2 linked regions of the Oreochromis niloticus genome follow. The protein of the gene in region 2 interacts with the protein of the main gene of each other region in a pairwise test. Links are inferred from orthologs where the notes say so. Each region holds a gene or a part of one and is shown on either strand. Other genes may lie near its edges.

The links. The genes of interacting proteins can lie anywhere in the genome.
Region 1: the proteins of clk2a (region 2) and ece1 interact in binary tests that used the Homo sapiens proteins (3 or more experiments, as listed by UniProt). The two-hybrid records come from large-scale screens. The link is inferred for Oreochromis niloticus from reciprocal best matches to the Homo sapiens genes CLK2 and ECE1.

Annotation. Positions count from the first base shown.
Region 1 is NC_031970.2:10,801,021-10,809,049, forward strand, and holds the start of ece1 (endothelin-converting enzyme 1), read right to left. Parts: upstream 3,003-8,029; coding exon 2,874-3,002; intron 417-2,873; coding exon 281-416; intron 1-280. UniProt on the Homo sapiens protein: Converts big endothelin-1 to endothelin-1.
Region 2 is NC_031985.2:16,846,181-16,854,029, forward strand, and holds the start of clk2a (dual specificity protein kinase CLK2), read right to left. Parts: upstream 3,094-7,849; 5' UTR 2,976-3,093; coding exon 2,952-2,975; intron 2,347-2,951; exon of another isoform or gene 2,213-2,346; intron 1,946-2,212; coding exon 1,746-1,945; intron 1,627-1,745; coding exon 1,347-1,626; intron 308-1,346; coding exon 217-307; intron 1-216. Other genes in the region: histone-lysine N-methyltransferase SETDB1-B, read right to left, coding at 4,282-4,368, 4,461-4,651, 4,892-4,965, 5,048-5,243. UniProt on the Homo sapiens protein: Dual specificity kinase acting on both serine/threonine and tyrosine-containing substrates. Phosphorylates serine- and arginine-rich (SR) proteins of the spliceosomal complex.

The DNA of each region.
Region 1 (8,029 bases), on a different chromosome or scaffold from region 2:
TTCTTAGTTACTGGAAACAGCTGATTTTAAAATTTAAGCATATCAGTTAATTACAGGCTAGGCTTCTTTAATTTTTTTATGGAGTTCAGTAAAAAAACTGAATAAGATTAAATATAAAATCACTGAAAGATCAAAAATAATAGTTATTGAACCTTTGTTGTAGATAAAAGCACCATTATAGGTATGAAGTGGGCTTTTCTATTTAATTAGTCAATTTCACAGAAATCACAGGTGGTTCTTTTCGCTGTATGTCACTGAGGTGTCAAAACTTTGAACTCACTCTGTTTGTAGAAAATCCCAGTTGTGATGAGAGTTATGAACAGGCCCACTGACAGAACACACACCAAGCACATTAGCCTCCTCTCCGTCTGTGTCCTGCTCGGCCAACATGAGGAACGGCCACGCAGAAGGCTCACCTGCACACATAAAAAAAGCCATCTAAAGGATTTGTGTAAGTCAAAGCCACAGACACTACTGCATGAATGACACACAATGAGTCTATTTACTTGTGAACAAAAACTGGAAAATATTGTGTATAGACAAAGTTTCTCAGGGATTTGATGACAGGTATGGTTTCACAGCACAATGGCTTCTCCATTAGTCTCCTCAGCTCTCATACATGGAAAAAGGTCAAGCATTCTTTCATTGTTTCCTTACTAATAAAAGCACAGTTTACTTTTGGCCTAAAATAAGACAAGACAACGCTGAACTTTATCTGCTGCTTTTGTGGTTCACCTATAAATGATGAGTTTACCGATAACGATCTGCTGAAAAGCGGCTCAAAGACTTTGATTCCAAGAGTCACTCATATCCTTCAATGGACACATTAAGAACTCTGGTCAGTCTAAATGAGACTCCTATAAATAAATGGTGGCTTTTGTTCATTCCACACACTACACTGTTGAAGCCAGGTATGCCCAAACTATAAATATAGGGATCAGATTTGCTGCTATTAGAAGACGTTTTCACAAGCCAAATTAAAGTGCGATCGAAGCAAAGGCGGCTTCTTAATCCCAAAGCCTTAGTGCATTAAGCAGGTTTGGTCCAGAGCTGTATTTCTGAGCATAACTGGGATAATCACTGCCAAGTCTTTTTCACCTGTAGTCTGCCACAGTCTTAGGAAGCTACATTTCATTTCACAAAAATAAAAAACCCACAAGTCATACTTGACTCTAGGCACAGTTTGAACACCATTTCAATCCTGGTTAAATAAAGCACCTAAAGAATGAATGAACTGAAGGATGAACTGCACAAAGCAGTGTGTGTCTGCACTATATGGACGTGAACAGTGTACTGTTTAACTTAAGGAATCAGGCCAAATGGTCTTTATCTACAGTCTCAGTGAAATTCTTTATACATGTTGTGTTCTTTCAACAGCAGAAAAAATACAAAGGATTTCATGCTTAAATGCTTCAGTGTCTGTGCGCAACAACTTCCTTGTGTGAAAACCATCATAAAAAAATAAATAAAGACAACTTCATCTCAATGGGGAGAAAAAAACGCAACCAATTTCATTCTGTTTTAAATCTAAAGTGAATTTGTGGCATATTTTTGCGTTGTGGTCTCTTAGACAAATCATTTTTTAAATTATACAAGTAACAATCAAGACATTTGTCCAAACATTAATATTTGCCAAATTGCAGAAATGTTATAAAATGATCTCAAAATGCTGTAAACCAAATACATGAATAGGAGAAAGGGCAGTAGCAACAGTATACTCTTACAGTCCATTTTGATGATGGCTTTTTGCATCGGTTTTACTACAGAGAATAAAATTTCCAGGATGTTTCTGTAAGGCTCCTGTAAAATACAAGTACATGCTGTTGGGAATTCTCTTATTTAGCTAGCTTTATTCATTATTTTTACTGTTGACATGGTTAAATTGTGCTTGATGCCACACTGAAAGCCAAGCAAAACAGTGAAGGTAAAGTTCAGATTTCAGTATTGTTTGCAGTATAGACTGTTTTTAGTTATAGCACTGACAATTTTATTTTACAGGTGTTTTATTTTGTCCCCACCATGAATAAAAATAATTCAGAGGCAGCAATCTGCACCCAACATGTATGAAAATGATATAAATGACAGCTATGCATTTATCCATCAATTCATTCCTTCTCTTAACTGCTTATCCAACCAGTTTCAGTGGAATAATACCAGCTGATACTGGGTGAGAGCTGGGTGCACCCCGGCCACCGCTGAGCAAAAACCAAAACACCGTCTCTGGACAGAACTGGAAAAAACCCACACAAGTGATGTGACCAGTTTTCTTTTTCTGGTGACTTCAGAAGAAAAGAAAGTTTAAAGCCCACTGTCTTCTCTTCTTTTTTTAACTTATTAACAGTAATCCAGTGGATCCAAATTAAGTTTGAGAACTACAGACACTGGGGAGGATATGTCCCAGCTCACTAGCAGTTAGGCCGTCTCTCGATCAACCGTCATGCAAATATACTCACTAATCTTATAATCTTCTATTTCATGCACACGCTCAGTTCAGAATGAGGCCTCTATTTAGAAGTTTTGGCCATTGCAAAATTACATGAAGACTTCAAATTCCTTCACAAATCAGAATAGGAATACATTTCTAAGTACTATATATCTTAAAGTTATGGATAGACATGTTAAACTAACACTACTGCTAGAGTGACTTTGGCAGCTTTTATTGAACCACTAAATGAGGACAGCTTGGTTCAAAAAACATCTAATCATAAGCCTAAATTGCTGTTGGTTCATCTGTAATTGAAATTTAGAAAATCTGCCGTCTTATACCAGGTGCAAAACCTCAACAGTTACACACTTACCCACATGTTTCATAATAATCCAGTACCAGCACCAACCTGTTTCTTATTTTTAGCCCAAGGTATTTGCTTTCTTACCTGCATGGGAGCTGATGGGTAGATATCGTCACTGGTGGAGTCTACCAGGTCCTCCTCGTCCAGGGTGGCTCGCCTGTATGTGGACATCTGCAAAGTCAAATGAAGAAAAGACTCTCTCAGTGCTTCCATGTTTCTTCAAGCATCTAATAACATCCCACTAACGTGTGTGAGAGTTTTTGTGTGCGGCGTCTGTTCCTCAGGAATCTATGGCAGTGTAGGGTTTCCCTCTAAAATCCATCAGGAGAAAACAAAATGATCCGGTTTACTTCTTTCACTCAGAGCAAAACTGCTTGGGGGAAAAAAAATGGAACATAAAAAACAACACGTGCTGGTCTGCCTTTCAAAGCACTTTTCTGCTCCCTCCAGTTCTGTCAACACCTCTAAACGCCCCCATGGCTTTAGGCAGAGACCCCGCAGCAAACTTCACAACAGTAGGAAAACCTCCTCCTCCTCCTGAAAGTACGATCTCCTTGCGCTTCTCCTCTCCCTCTCTTCCTGAGCAAAGTTTCTGTAGACTTCCTTTTCAGCACGGTCTATCCAAACACGGCAACAGAGAAGCCGGAACTACTGAAAAACGGGAAGCAGCTCTGACTTCAGCAATTTACATGACTGAGACTGAGTGTATGGTACTGATTGTGTGAGCGCGTGCGTCTGTGTGAGTGTGTGTGAAAGCACATACGCAAATGTGGTTTCACTTAGATTTGGGGAGGCAAGTGCGCAGTTGTAGTTCACGCCCTTTGTCTTTTCTATAGGACACAATGGACTGGGAGGAGGAGCACAGAAAAAAACAACAACAACAATCTTTTACATACATACTCAGTTTCTTTTGCAATTGATACCTGAATGTCATAATAGCCGCTTCTTCTCATGTTTAATCCCTCACCCAAAAATGGGCACAAAGCACAAACATGAAAAGCTATTTTAAAAAGAAACCCATCCAGAAGGGAAGCTGTGAGTTTATATGCTGGGGAGAGTGATTATCTGATTGGGGACAGGTGTGGTGGAAAATTGGAGGGAAACGTAAGCAAGACCAGAAGCAAAGCTAACAGGAATGAACATGGTCCAAGGATTACAAAATAAATCAGGAAGTGACAGAACAGAAATCCTGTACCATGACGTGTGTGTGGAACCTGTCACCGCTATAACCTAAACACATAGTTATAAGACAAAGAATATTCACAGCTGACCATCAGCAGTAATTCCTTCTTTGGGAAGTATATGTGAAAAATAAAAGAAAATGTATCATGGCTCTATTTATTAAAGTATAATGTCTGGCTGATTTAAGTGGGTAAGCGACACAAACACCAATAATGCACAACCACACTAACTTTCCATTATAAAAAGAAAAATAACTTGAAAGGTAATGTAATACTAATAATATTTTATAATAATGAATAGAAATAGCACTTCAAAGTTTCCTTTATGAGCTTGAGTGGGAAGCTGGTCACCAAATGACAAAGAAGTTTAACCCTATTAGCTGAGGCCTGCACATGGATCCATTGGTTTATTAGACAACAACACATATTGCGAATCTGCCGAAGAAGCTATAAAGATTTCATCAAGCAGCTGCTTTATTTTTGACCTGTGATGATGGGAGGGAGAGCAATATGGTTCTCATAGCATTGTGTCCAGAACTGTAGCCTAGGTTTGAATCTGCTGCCCAGCTGGAACACATGTTCTTCCTGTGGGACTCTGGCCTCCTCCATGAGTCCAAACACATACATGCTAGCTTCACTGTTGATTCTAAGTTGGCCGTGGTTGTAAATGGCAGCGTGCATGATTGTCTGTCTCTCCAAATGACTGGCGACCAGCTAAGACCCTGAACTGATTAAGAAAGAAATTGAACGAATGTTGATGCTTTTATGACCAAAAGAACATGATCAGGAATGTGAGCAGCTTTCTCTGAAGGGTGTCTCGGCTAAACCTCAGCATGATTTAGTACTGCGTTGAATCCTCACTGAGGGATGATGTCATTTTTTGTATTTATATATATATTTATGTGTATTGATCTGTGTGTATTGCTCTACCAGCAGTTTTTGTTTGGATCTGGAGCTGATGAAACTTCAGGAATAGTTACTTTTACTAAAATGCAGGAAGGCTGCATTGATACATGTTTTTATGACTGTGAAAATGAGAAAATGCCTACACATGCAGAAAACTAGCTATTTTATTAGCATAACTGTAAGCACGAGACAGTTACAACTTTTGTTACACAGAGGTATCCTCCCTGTGTTAATCAATATACTGAGGTTATACCATGCTACCAAACAGCCCTATCAAGGCTGTTGCAGTCTATGTTGCATAAACACGTAGTTATATTACTGTGAAGGTGCACGCCATTCTGTGGTGCAGGGTACAGATTTAAACCATAGCTGTCTTTCCTTTTATTTTTCACTGCGTATCTAGGTTGTGTTCACAGGGGTAACAATTTAAGCAGAGATGGCCAGAACACCCTCTCCCCAGCCACCTCCTCTTCCAGGGGGACACCAACCAAGGCAGGTGGGCAGGGGTGGGACGGTGGGGTAGAACATGCACAAATGGGGACATGGAATATCAGTTAAATTCTACAGTGTCAAAGAAACTTTCATGAATGGCTTATATGGTGTTTAGGTTTTATTTAGATTTTAAGATTTATCTCATTTATTGTCTTAGAAAGCACTACTTTCTCATGTCTCCTGTATTTCCTTTTTCTTCACTCTGTGTCACTATCACTCACTTCCTCTTTTTGAGTGGTTATTGTGTCTTTGTGTGTTGCTTTGCCACCTTTGTGATTACCTGCCCCACCCTCATTAGGTTCACCTGTCTTCATTTATTTTCACCTGTGCCCATTAGCCCTGTGTGTATATACTCCTGTCTCACCCTGTGTTACTGGTTAGGCTGTCTGCTGTTTCACCTGGTGTCCCTCCTTGTGGTCTCCCAGATTACTGTCGTGTTTGCACAAGCCTTTTGGACTTTGTTTAGACTTGTAATTCTTTTTTTGGTTGTCAATGTTGCAGCTAAACCTGCCTCTTGGGTTCTAAATTTTTTACCTTTATATAATCACATTTAAACAACTAAAAAACAAAAAACAGCTTAGTGATAGTGTTTAAATTAAGTAAGATCTAAAATCCATCTGAGTTTATGAATGTATTCATAGCAGCCTATTTCACAATGAATCTCAAATATTTGAATAATTGGACATCATTTTGGGGGGAATATTAAACTACACAACACAATCTCGTTTCTTGCTTGCAATTCAAAGAGTCAATTTCCAAATGCTCCGATTATTCTAAAGGCAATGTGCAATCCATTTTTAAGAGCTAATTTGAAACTTCCAAGCCTAAGGAGCTACTTCCTATCACTTACAATTTATAAACAGACCTTTTAGTACAGAGACTAACATTACACAACGTTGTTTTCTATTACTCCCGAGAGCCTGTTGCCTCAGTAATGAGGACAAGTTAAAAAAAAAACTTCTGCAATAAATCTTGTGTGTACTGTTTCAGAGAGAGCTAGAGGAATTACTGGCTCCTATTGATACCGCTTTTCAGGCGTTTCTGGTAACAGGAAAAGATCAGAGTGACAAGGAAAGCGTTGGCTAGATTGCTGCTTTTATTAACAAACTGCGCCACCCAGGTCACATTACCATTAAGGACACTTTCAGCAGCTCTGACATTGAACTGCTAGCTGTGAGGTTACACACACATTACATGCTCGGGAAGTTTTTAAATGCCATCTTAGTTGTTGTTTACATCCCGCCTCTGCCAACCAGGCAACCACGTGTAAAGCCATCTACTCTGTTGCAGCAAGACTCCAGACTATGCATCACAAAAAGTTGTCTTACTTGTCTTACACAAGTAAGACTGCAGACTTTTGGTAGTAAATATACATATCTGCAGTTCACTAGTAAACAGCTGAAGCACAAGAGGCCAGAGATATAGATTATTCTTATGCTACGATTTCAACACTGTTAATAGGACAATGATTAACTTCAGCTGCCTGTCAACTCGGTAAATGTTTCACCACAATGCAAAACGCCACAGGGGGAATATTAAAAACATTTTTGCCTTGAGTATTTTGATCATCAAGCATGTAATCAGACTTTAAAATAGCCCTTTTGTCCAGTCTTAGTTTCTCTCCTTCTGGGTTCACAGTTCACATGTTAGTCTCTTGACCAAAAAACAAACCAGTGACTGAAATAAATGTTTACTTGATTAAGACTTTATTAGATTGTCTCGTAAGCACAGCCAGAAGGTCAGATCCTTTCTTTTCGTTCCCACTTGTCTCTCATAAACAAAAATTGATGTTCCTACCACAAAAATCCTCGAGAATTCCATGCAAACCAGGAGCACAGATTCCTGTGATTCCTACTAAATCTTGGTTTCTATTAGATGAGATTTATGAAATGAACCCCAATGGGAGAAGGGGAACAGCTGTCAGTTGAAGTTAAACTGAAAATTTGTTGAGAAAGAGTGTTGGATTTGTTGGTACTGCTGTTCTTGGTCGGCTGCTTGCTGCTTAAATAGTTGTACATAAATAGGCCGACTAAAAAAAAGAAATAGTTACTGAAGCAGAAGAAAACTGAAAAAAAAAAAAATTAAATTCAAAGGCTTTAATTCTGATCACTAGTATAAAACTTACTAGGGAAGACACTGATACCAGCCAGTAACTGTTTGGGGGCTTTTATTCAGGAAAACAACTACTGCTGTTGTTGTCCTCATAACTTCCTAGAACTAGGGGCTTTAATTAAAAAAAAACATATCAGGCTTACATTAAGAAGGAAAGTACTTTCTTTAAAAAAAACAAAAACAAAAACTCAGTGTAAAGCATCTCTAACATCTGCTAACTAACTTAATTCTGAAAAGGTGACACTTTAAAGCATTCTGGTAAAGATATGGTCATACTGATACCTTTTTGTATTTAACTGGGGGCTTTTATTTTGGAAACTGGATATATTTTAAAATATATTGAGCTTACGTTAAGAAACTGGGGGCTTTTATTTTGAAAATTTGACACCAAGACCCATGCTGTAGCAGTCGTCAGAGTGTTTCTGCGACAAACACTGCAGGATTAGTTGCACGCCAAAAAACAAACAAGGAAAAAGGACGATTCTACATACTTTGCAAAAACCATCACTGTGTTGGTGTGTTTATGAACTCCAATAAAGGGCTGGCAGC
Region 2 (7,849 bases):
AAAGAAAAAAGAAAAAAAAAGCAGATTGTATCTAAAGTCCCTCCTAAAATCTTCAACATTCTTGCAATCCACCCTGCTATTTCAGCTAGAGCGAAGAGCATTCTAGCAAGGCATCATCATCATCATGATCATCAGGCACTCCCCATGTCATGTAAATGCTCTATGCTTTAATACTCATATGGAGAAGGGTTACGATAGAGTAGTGGCAGTGAGTACATCTCTCTTGCAGGACGTCCCCACTCCGACAGATCAGGTGCCCTTCCTCGTCGTCCCTCACACTCAGTGCACGCGTCCGGCTGTTGCTCCGCTGTATTCACACCCAAACGGCCATCAGCAGGTCACAACACGACCGAAGGGGACAGGGGGGTTTCAGGGGCAGCCGCAGCCACGGCGTCAGGTGGCACAGGTGGATGAGGAGGGAGGAGGAGGGTGGTAGTTGATGTAGTTGTGGTTGTAGGTGGGTTTCATGGTCATTGGGCGATTCACGCATGACACCACGTGAAGGAAATATATAACGATAGGGATATAGTGCAAGGGAACAAGTCAAAGATCACATGTTGTCCTCTGCTCCTCTCCCGCCCCCCTACCTTTAAACCACAGCTGCTTACAAACAAGGAAGCAACTGGCACATCCATTCATCAACGCAACAACCAATTAAACAATAATATACATAACTACTTCAAAACTTTGCAACAAGATGAAAGATAAAATGACAACACCATAAACATTCAAGCAGGACTTCTTTAAAGATAATCCCAACAGTTATACTACATCAAATTCAAACCTTTTCCTCATTTACGTTCATAATAATACTTAACAGGTGTGATTAACCACACCCCACACAGAAAGAAATAATCAGAGCTAACTCATTTTAATAAAAATCTAATGCACTATGCTTGGCAGAACATTTTCACTTTTTCATCATTAAAAAAATAATAATAATAATTGCAAGAGCCAAAACAAAAATCACAAGGCTTTCTGCCCTCTTATGAATAAAAAAAAATTAAAGTAAAATAACTAAATTACAGTAACAATTATCTGTGACAAAATAGTGGCTGAAGTACTAAAAGGTATCTGTATAAAAATGAAAATGCTCTACCATAAAAAGGAGAAAGAATTTTTGAAAAAAAGAGCCAATTAGAGCCAAACCCACCTATTCACAAATATAATAAAACCCCTGTGACAGAACAAAAATAAATCATAAAGGTTTTACTACTTACCAAATCTAGGGGCTGTAAAGAAAAGGTTAGGACAGGACAGAGGCAGAGAGAGCTGAGCGAAAGAAACAGGAGGTGGAGGTAGAGGATGAGGACTTAAAGCACAAACTCAGGTCTGGCTGTACTCACCGAGGAGGATGCGCTATAGGACCTGGTTCTACGCCGCCTTCGTTTGTGCTTACGCCTGCTGCCTTTCCGCCGATACGACTCTTCTCGTTCACGCTCCCTCTCGCGGCCCCGTCTGTAGTCGTACATGTTCGGCGAGAAGTCACGTGGATAGTAACTCTCGGCTGCTCCGTGTGGCTCCCTGTCTCTGTCGCGTTCTCTGCTCTGATCAAACCGTCTGTATCCCTCGCAGTATCTTCTGTCAAACGGTCGTTGTTCCACTGAGCGATTGTCATAGCTGCGACTGAATAAGTGAGCAGAGAAATATACGGAAACCTTAGGACTGGCAACCAATAATAAAGTAAAGTGGGGTAAATATAACATGAAAGAGTAAAAGCCCAAGCTAATTTGACCATAACGCACCTCCGTGACCGTACATAGCTTCCTTCCTGTCTGTGTCCACGTCCCCTCCTGTCTCGGTCTCTCTCTCTGTCACTGCTGGAGGAGTAAGACGGCGTTCTTCTGTGTCGATGTCGTCGCCCTCTGTCTCGGTCTCTGTAACGATCCTGGTAGCTGGCTCGACTGTCTCTTTCCGAGGACGAGTATCGTCTTGTGTGAGGCATCTGGTGTAAAAAGGAAACAAATTAGCACAGAGTACCAAAATATGTTTAAGGAAAGTCATTCCTTACATTCAAATTATTGGAGCAGATGATCACTGCCAAACTCATGGGATTTGAGGGACTAAATACCTGCACGTTTCTAGTGTGTAGTTACAGACCCCCCAACAATACTGTAAAGTTCAGAGTTTTACCCCAAAGGCTCAAATCAGGACTATGTACATCAGCACAGCTTTTCCACATATGATTTCACAAAGCAAAAATCTGTGTTACCTTACTGAACAATACTCCTTTTCCTTTTTATTTTTTGACCTTTCGCCAATAAAAACGTATTCAACCTTAAGTAATTTGAACTCCGCACAACCCAAAAGTCTCGCGAGTCTGCAAGTTCCCTGGTTTAACTGTCGTTACGTTTTAAGAATTTAAATTGAAAGTAAAAAGACAATTTCATAACAAACTTTATTGTCAACTTGGAAACAGACACTTTTAGCATCATACCTTCAACTGCATGACAAGTGTAAATATTATTTTTACTGTTTAATTAAACTACCCTTAACCGAGAACTAGACATTTCTGTAAACGTGGTTATATAGGAGGCCACCCTCAGAACAACAGTTCAACTTTCCTTCATACCTAAAAAGGCAACAAAATTTTCCAACGGACCTAAAACTATGTGCAAAACTATTGCAACGGGTCTGAAAATACTGAAAAAAAGAAGATCAGCGTTCAAATGAGATGATATAGCTATAATAACCCTGTTGCATAACCATAATAAACTTGACAACCCCCAATAGACACAGCGGCGCATCAAACCATTGCAAAGCCATTAGCACTGTAGTCAGAAGTAATTATTAGGGCAAATGAGTTCAGTTAAGCTTTATCCAACGCAGAGTGAAAGCACAAGTAAATGCCAAGTTAATAAATTGATCGTGGCTACTCATTAAGCGTTGCCTATGCTGTTTACACTCATTCCAAGACGATGCAACACTCGTTAAACGTAAAGCAAAATTACCGTTAAGCTCGTTAATCTCTGCATGGATTAGTAAAATTAAGCTTCTATAACAGTCCAGCACATTTACTAACAGCACCAACATTTCAAAGCCTGGAGAGAAGTAACTAATCAACAAGCGACGTAGTATCTATTAGCATGCACTGCTAGCCACTAGCTAATGTAAATAATTTGACCGCCATCTTAGCTTAGCTACGTTCGTTAAGCTAACTTGCTACTTACGCTAGCAGCCGCGCTAACTGCAGAATCGCTATGTAGCTTATTTAAATAAACACGGTGTTTACCGTTTTAGCAGCGAGCCCTGTGCGTTTATCCCACAAAAAATCCGTGGTGGCGTTCCACTTTTCTCCTCTACCTTCTCGCCAGCTCGATGTTCAAAGCTCTTTTGCTATCACCTAGCCAGTTTTTTTTCTGTCTGCTTAGTACAGCTAGTACTGGTTCAATTCGGCGCTCGTACCGCCCTCCTGCGCTCAAATGTGGCTACTCCTGTTCGAAGGTAGACATCCACAAGGAACTAGTGAGGAATTACCACCCCAACCTACAACCGTTACAAGTCCTTATTAAATTATGGACCGCTGATTTTTATCAGCTACCTTTTAACTTTTGTTTTCTCCATGTCCAAATATTTGACTTGCTGTTTTAAACCTTTGATTTAAAATGACATACCTGTGGTGGTATACAGATGTCTATGGAGAAAGGGTAGTGAACTAGTGTCAGTATATCTGAGGGACTCAGACAAATTTAGGAGGAAAGGCTGAGATGGTTTGGACATGTGTAGAGGAAGGATAGTGGATATACTGGAGGTGAGATGGAGGCAGATGGCGGCATTCTTGCTTTTAAAAGCTTTTACATGTTAAGTCACACATTTTGATTTTAATTTGTTGTAGTTTTATTACAAACATTTTGATTTATTTTATTGGTAAAACAACTTCAAAATGAGCTGCAAACTTTACAACCACACACATATATAAGAGATGCCCTCCTTTTCACTTTTTCACCTTAACACGTTGTAATAACTTTGAACATACTTAGAAAATGTTATTTTCGTTCAGCTGTACAAAAACTAATATAAAATGAATACATTTGTATCAGTAGCATCTGCATGATCTGATGGCATTCTCCCCAGGAGTAAGAAAAAGGCACAGTAGGTCAAACTTAAAGCATCCTCACAGTCCATCAGTTTGATGTTGGTGATGACTCTAAAGCACACAAAACAAGGAAACAGAGAGACCAGTAAGCCAGTAGGGATAACCAGGATAACATCATTTTTCTCCACATACGAAAGTAGTTTACCATTGACTGAGGTAGTATTACTCTTCCTCCCGTCCTCCTTTTAAGTCTTATTTAAATTCTCATTCACAGTAATCATTTGTTCCAAGCGATTGGAGCCTCGGTGGATCCACTCCTTAAGATCATCATCCTAAACATGAAATGAACACTACAGTAAGTCACAAAATTGAAATAAATGTAACAGGATTTAAAAAAGAAGGAACAACTTAAGGTGGAACAGACCAAAAAAACAACTTCCATCAAACTGCAGTCAATCTCCAGTACTTTACTCCTCTGCAGAAATCCGTTACGTTCCACGTTTACAGTCTGTCCGACGTGGTACTGCGTCATGGGTGGATAAGGCCACTTCTTTATATAATTCTGCATGAAAAGCTTGTGCTTTTCATCTAGGATATCATCCAAAGGGTTCTCCACTGTCATAGAAAATGGAAAATCTTAGTAGCAGTATTATAATAGCAGCTGCTGTGGACAGCGAGTATAGAAGAATTGGGATTCTGGATTTTATAAAATTAGATATTATGGACTTGACGACAGTCTTATGACAGCTGGTGTTCCAGCTGTCATAAGACGACAGGCGGGGTACACCTGGACAGATCGCTAGTCTGTCACAGGACTAACACAGAGACAGACAACCATAAATAACCTGAACTTACGCGGTTTGCAAACCATGTGCATTGCACGTAAGCCAGCATACACTGGAGTGTGATCATCAGTAAAAATCAGGAACCTGGAATATAAAAATTAAAAGTGATTTTACACTTTTCCCACCTTCACAATCTGAATTTATCACCAGAGTAAAGCACACTAACCTCATGCGGTTTTTTCTGCAGGGGACCTCTGCCATGAAACCAGGCACGAACTGGTCGTCTTTGCTCTGGACCACCACACGCGCACCGACAAACAACTCATTCACCTTTGGCATGTGTTCAAAGGCAATGTGGTGACCAGACACTAGGCTCCTCCCCTTCTCCTTAAAGTTGACCTTGTATTTCACCCTACCATCTTCTGAAATGATTAAAGAAACATTGGAAAAAACTTTAGATTATACCAAATTTGCTTCTATCTGCGTTTTCTTGAAATAAGAAATGTCAAATACAGGTGCACGTGTTAATCTTCAAAAGTTGATTCTGTTCATCTGGACGTAGCGTTTTGTGGGAGAAACGTTTCGCCACTCATCCAAGTGACTTCTTCAGTCTCAGCTGACTGCAGGTTTCCCCAAGTACATTTGCATAATGACTGAAACCAGCCCACTGAAGGAACAATGGGCTGGGAGGTCAGTTCCTTAATCATAATTATGCAAATTCTCATGACCATTGATCAACAATCACTGACCAAAACCCACTGATCAAAGACCAAATGGCCTCCTTCACTCCGCGCTCAAACCAGCGTTCCTCCCTGTCCAGGATGTGTACATCCTCATCATTGAAAGAGTGTCCACTGGCCTGTAGGTGTAAATAGACTTCAGAGTCCTGGCCTGACGAGGTTGCTCTTCTGTGTTGTGCCATCCGCTTCGCCAGAGGTTGTTTGGTTTCCCCCGATGTATAAATCCTGGCAATCCTCCTGGCACTTAACAGCGTACACTATGTTACTCTGTTTGTGTCGGGGGACCCGATCCTTGGGGTGGACCAATTTTTGGCGCAGCGTGTTTTGGGGTTTAAAAGCCACAGAGACCCGGTGTTTAGAAAAAATGCGTCTCAACTGTTCCGATACTCCTGACACATATGGGATCACTACAGGTTTTCGCTTGGGCAGCGGTTGTCCTTCTCTCCTGGATCGGCTGGAGCTTTCTTTAGGTGCCTTTCCAGCTTTGACAAAAGTCCAGCTGGGATAACCACATTTACTTAGGGCCTTCTTGATGTGATGTTCTTCTGCCTCCCTGGCCGCTGTGTCAGTGGGGATGGTGTTCGCTCTGTGTTGTAGCGTCCTGATGACACCCAGTTTGTGCTCCAGTGGACGATGAGAGTCAAACCTTAGATACTGATCCGTATGTGTAGGTTTACGGTACACGTCAGCTTTTAGATGTCCCCCATTACTGATGGAAATCTCACAGTCTAAGAAGGCTAACCTGCCACTTTTCATATCCTCCCTGGTGAATTTGATGTTTCGGTCCACCGAGTTAATGTGATCCGTGAAATGTAGTACGTCCTGAGATTTGATTTTCACCCAGGTGTCATCCACATATCTGAACCAATGGCTTGGTGGTTGTCAAAGGAAAATTGTGTATATGTTATCAGCTACATGAAATGTGCTCTTTTAGGATCACTGAGCAAATGTCTATGTGACTTTTCACCTAGTAACTTGTGTGCAGCTACTAACTGCTTCCTGTTTTCAGAGAACATTTAGATGTAAAGGGAAAAACCCGCTGCTCTGAGTGACGTTGTTACTTTTGTACACACACACACACACACATATACACACACACACAGAACTGTATAAATAAAGAACCCAGACAGTGATGAGACGCAGGTCATGCGTCCATGACTGCCCCTTGCGAGTGAAAAACTTCTGCAGTGTTTGTGTTTTCTAAATCAGATGTCTCAGCTGAAGAACGGCAGGGTGATTTAAAGAAATCCCCTGTCAGTGGTGTCCCAGGGTAGGATAGCAAAGCCCTCTTTTCCACTTCTTCCATGTACAAATTGGCCACGATGGGTGAAACTGGGGAGCCCATGGCACACCCATGTTTCTGCCTGTAGAACTGACCCTTGTATGTGAAGTAGGTGGAATGAAGACACAGTTCCAAAAGCAAACACACTTGGTCGATGCTGAGAGTGGTCCTGTTGCTGAGGTTGGTGTCATCCTGTAATCTCTTACGGACTACCTCCAACGCTTCCGTGACTGGGATGCAAGTGAAGAGAGATGTAACGTCGTACGAGACCATGGTTTCATCTGCCTCCATTATGACATCTCTCACCTTCTCAACAAAATCCAGAGTGTTCTGGATGTGGTGTTCAGAGCTGCCCACCAGCGGGTTGAGGATCAAAGCCAGAAACTTGGAGATGTTATAGGTGACAGAGTTGATCATGCAGACAATCGGTCTTAAAGGTGCACCCTGTTTATGTATTTTCGGTAAACCATACAGACTTGGTGTAGACTCCCCTGGGTATAGCCTGTGGTATGAGGTCCGGTCAATAGCCTTGTCTTGTTCCAACTGTTTCAGACAGTCTATCACCCTCTTCCTGTAGCCACTTCCTGGTTCTCGTTTCAGGGGCTCATAAGTATTTTCATCACTGAGTAGTGACAAAATCTTCTCATGATAGTCTTTCTGGTTTAGCAATACTGTGCACCTACCCTTGTCTGCCGGAAGGATGATAATGTTGTTGTCATCACTAAGTGATGTGAGTGCCTTCCTCTCCTCCATGGTGATGTTGGATGCTGGTGGCTTTGCATTGCTGAGACAGGCCGAAACTTTCGTCCATAGTTGCTCTGCTTCCACTTCTGCAATATTGTTGTTACGAATTGCTGTTTCTGTGGCTGTGATCAGCTCCACTAGCAGGATTTGTCTCGGTGTGACAGCAAAATTCAACCCTTTAGCAAGGATGTTTTTCTCTGTTTGGGTGAGCTGTCTGTCAGACAAATTCTTCACCCACTTGTCCACATCCTCCATGTCACAT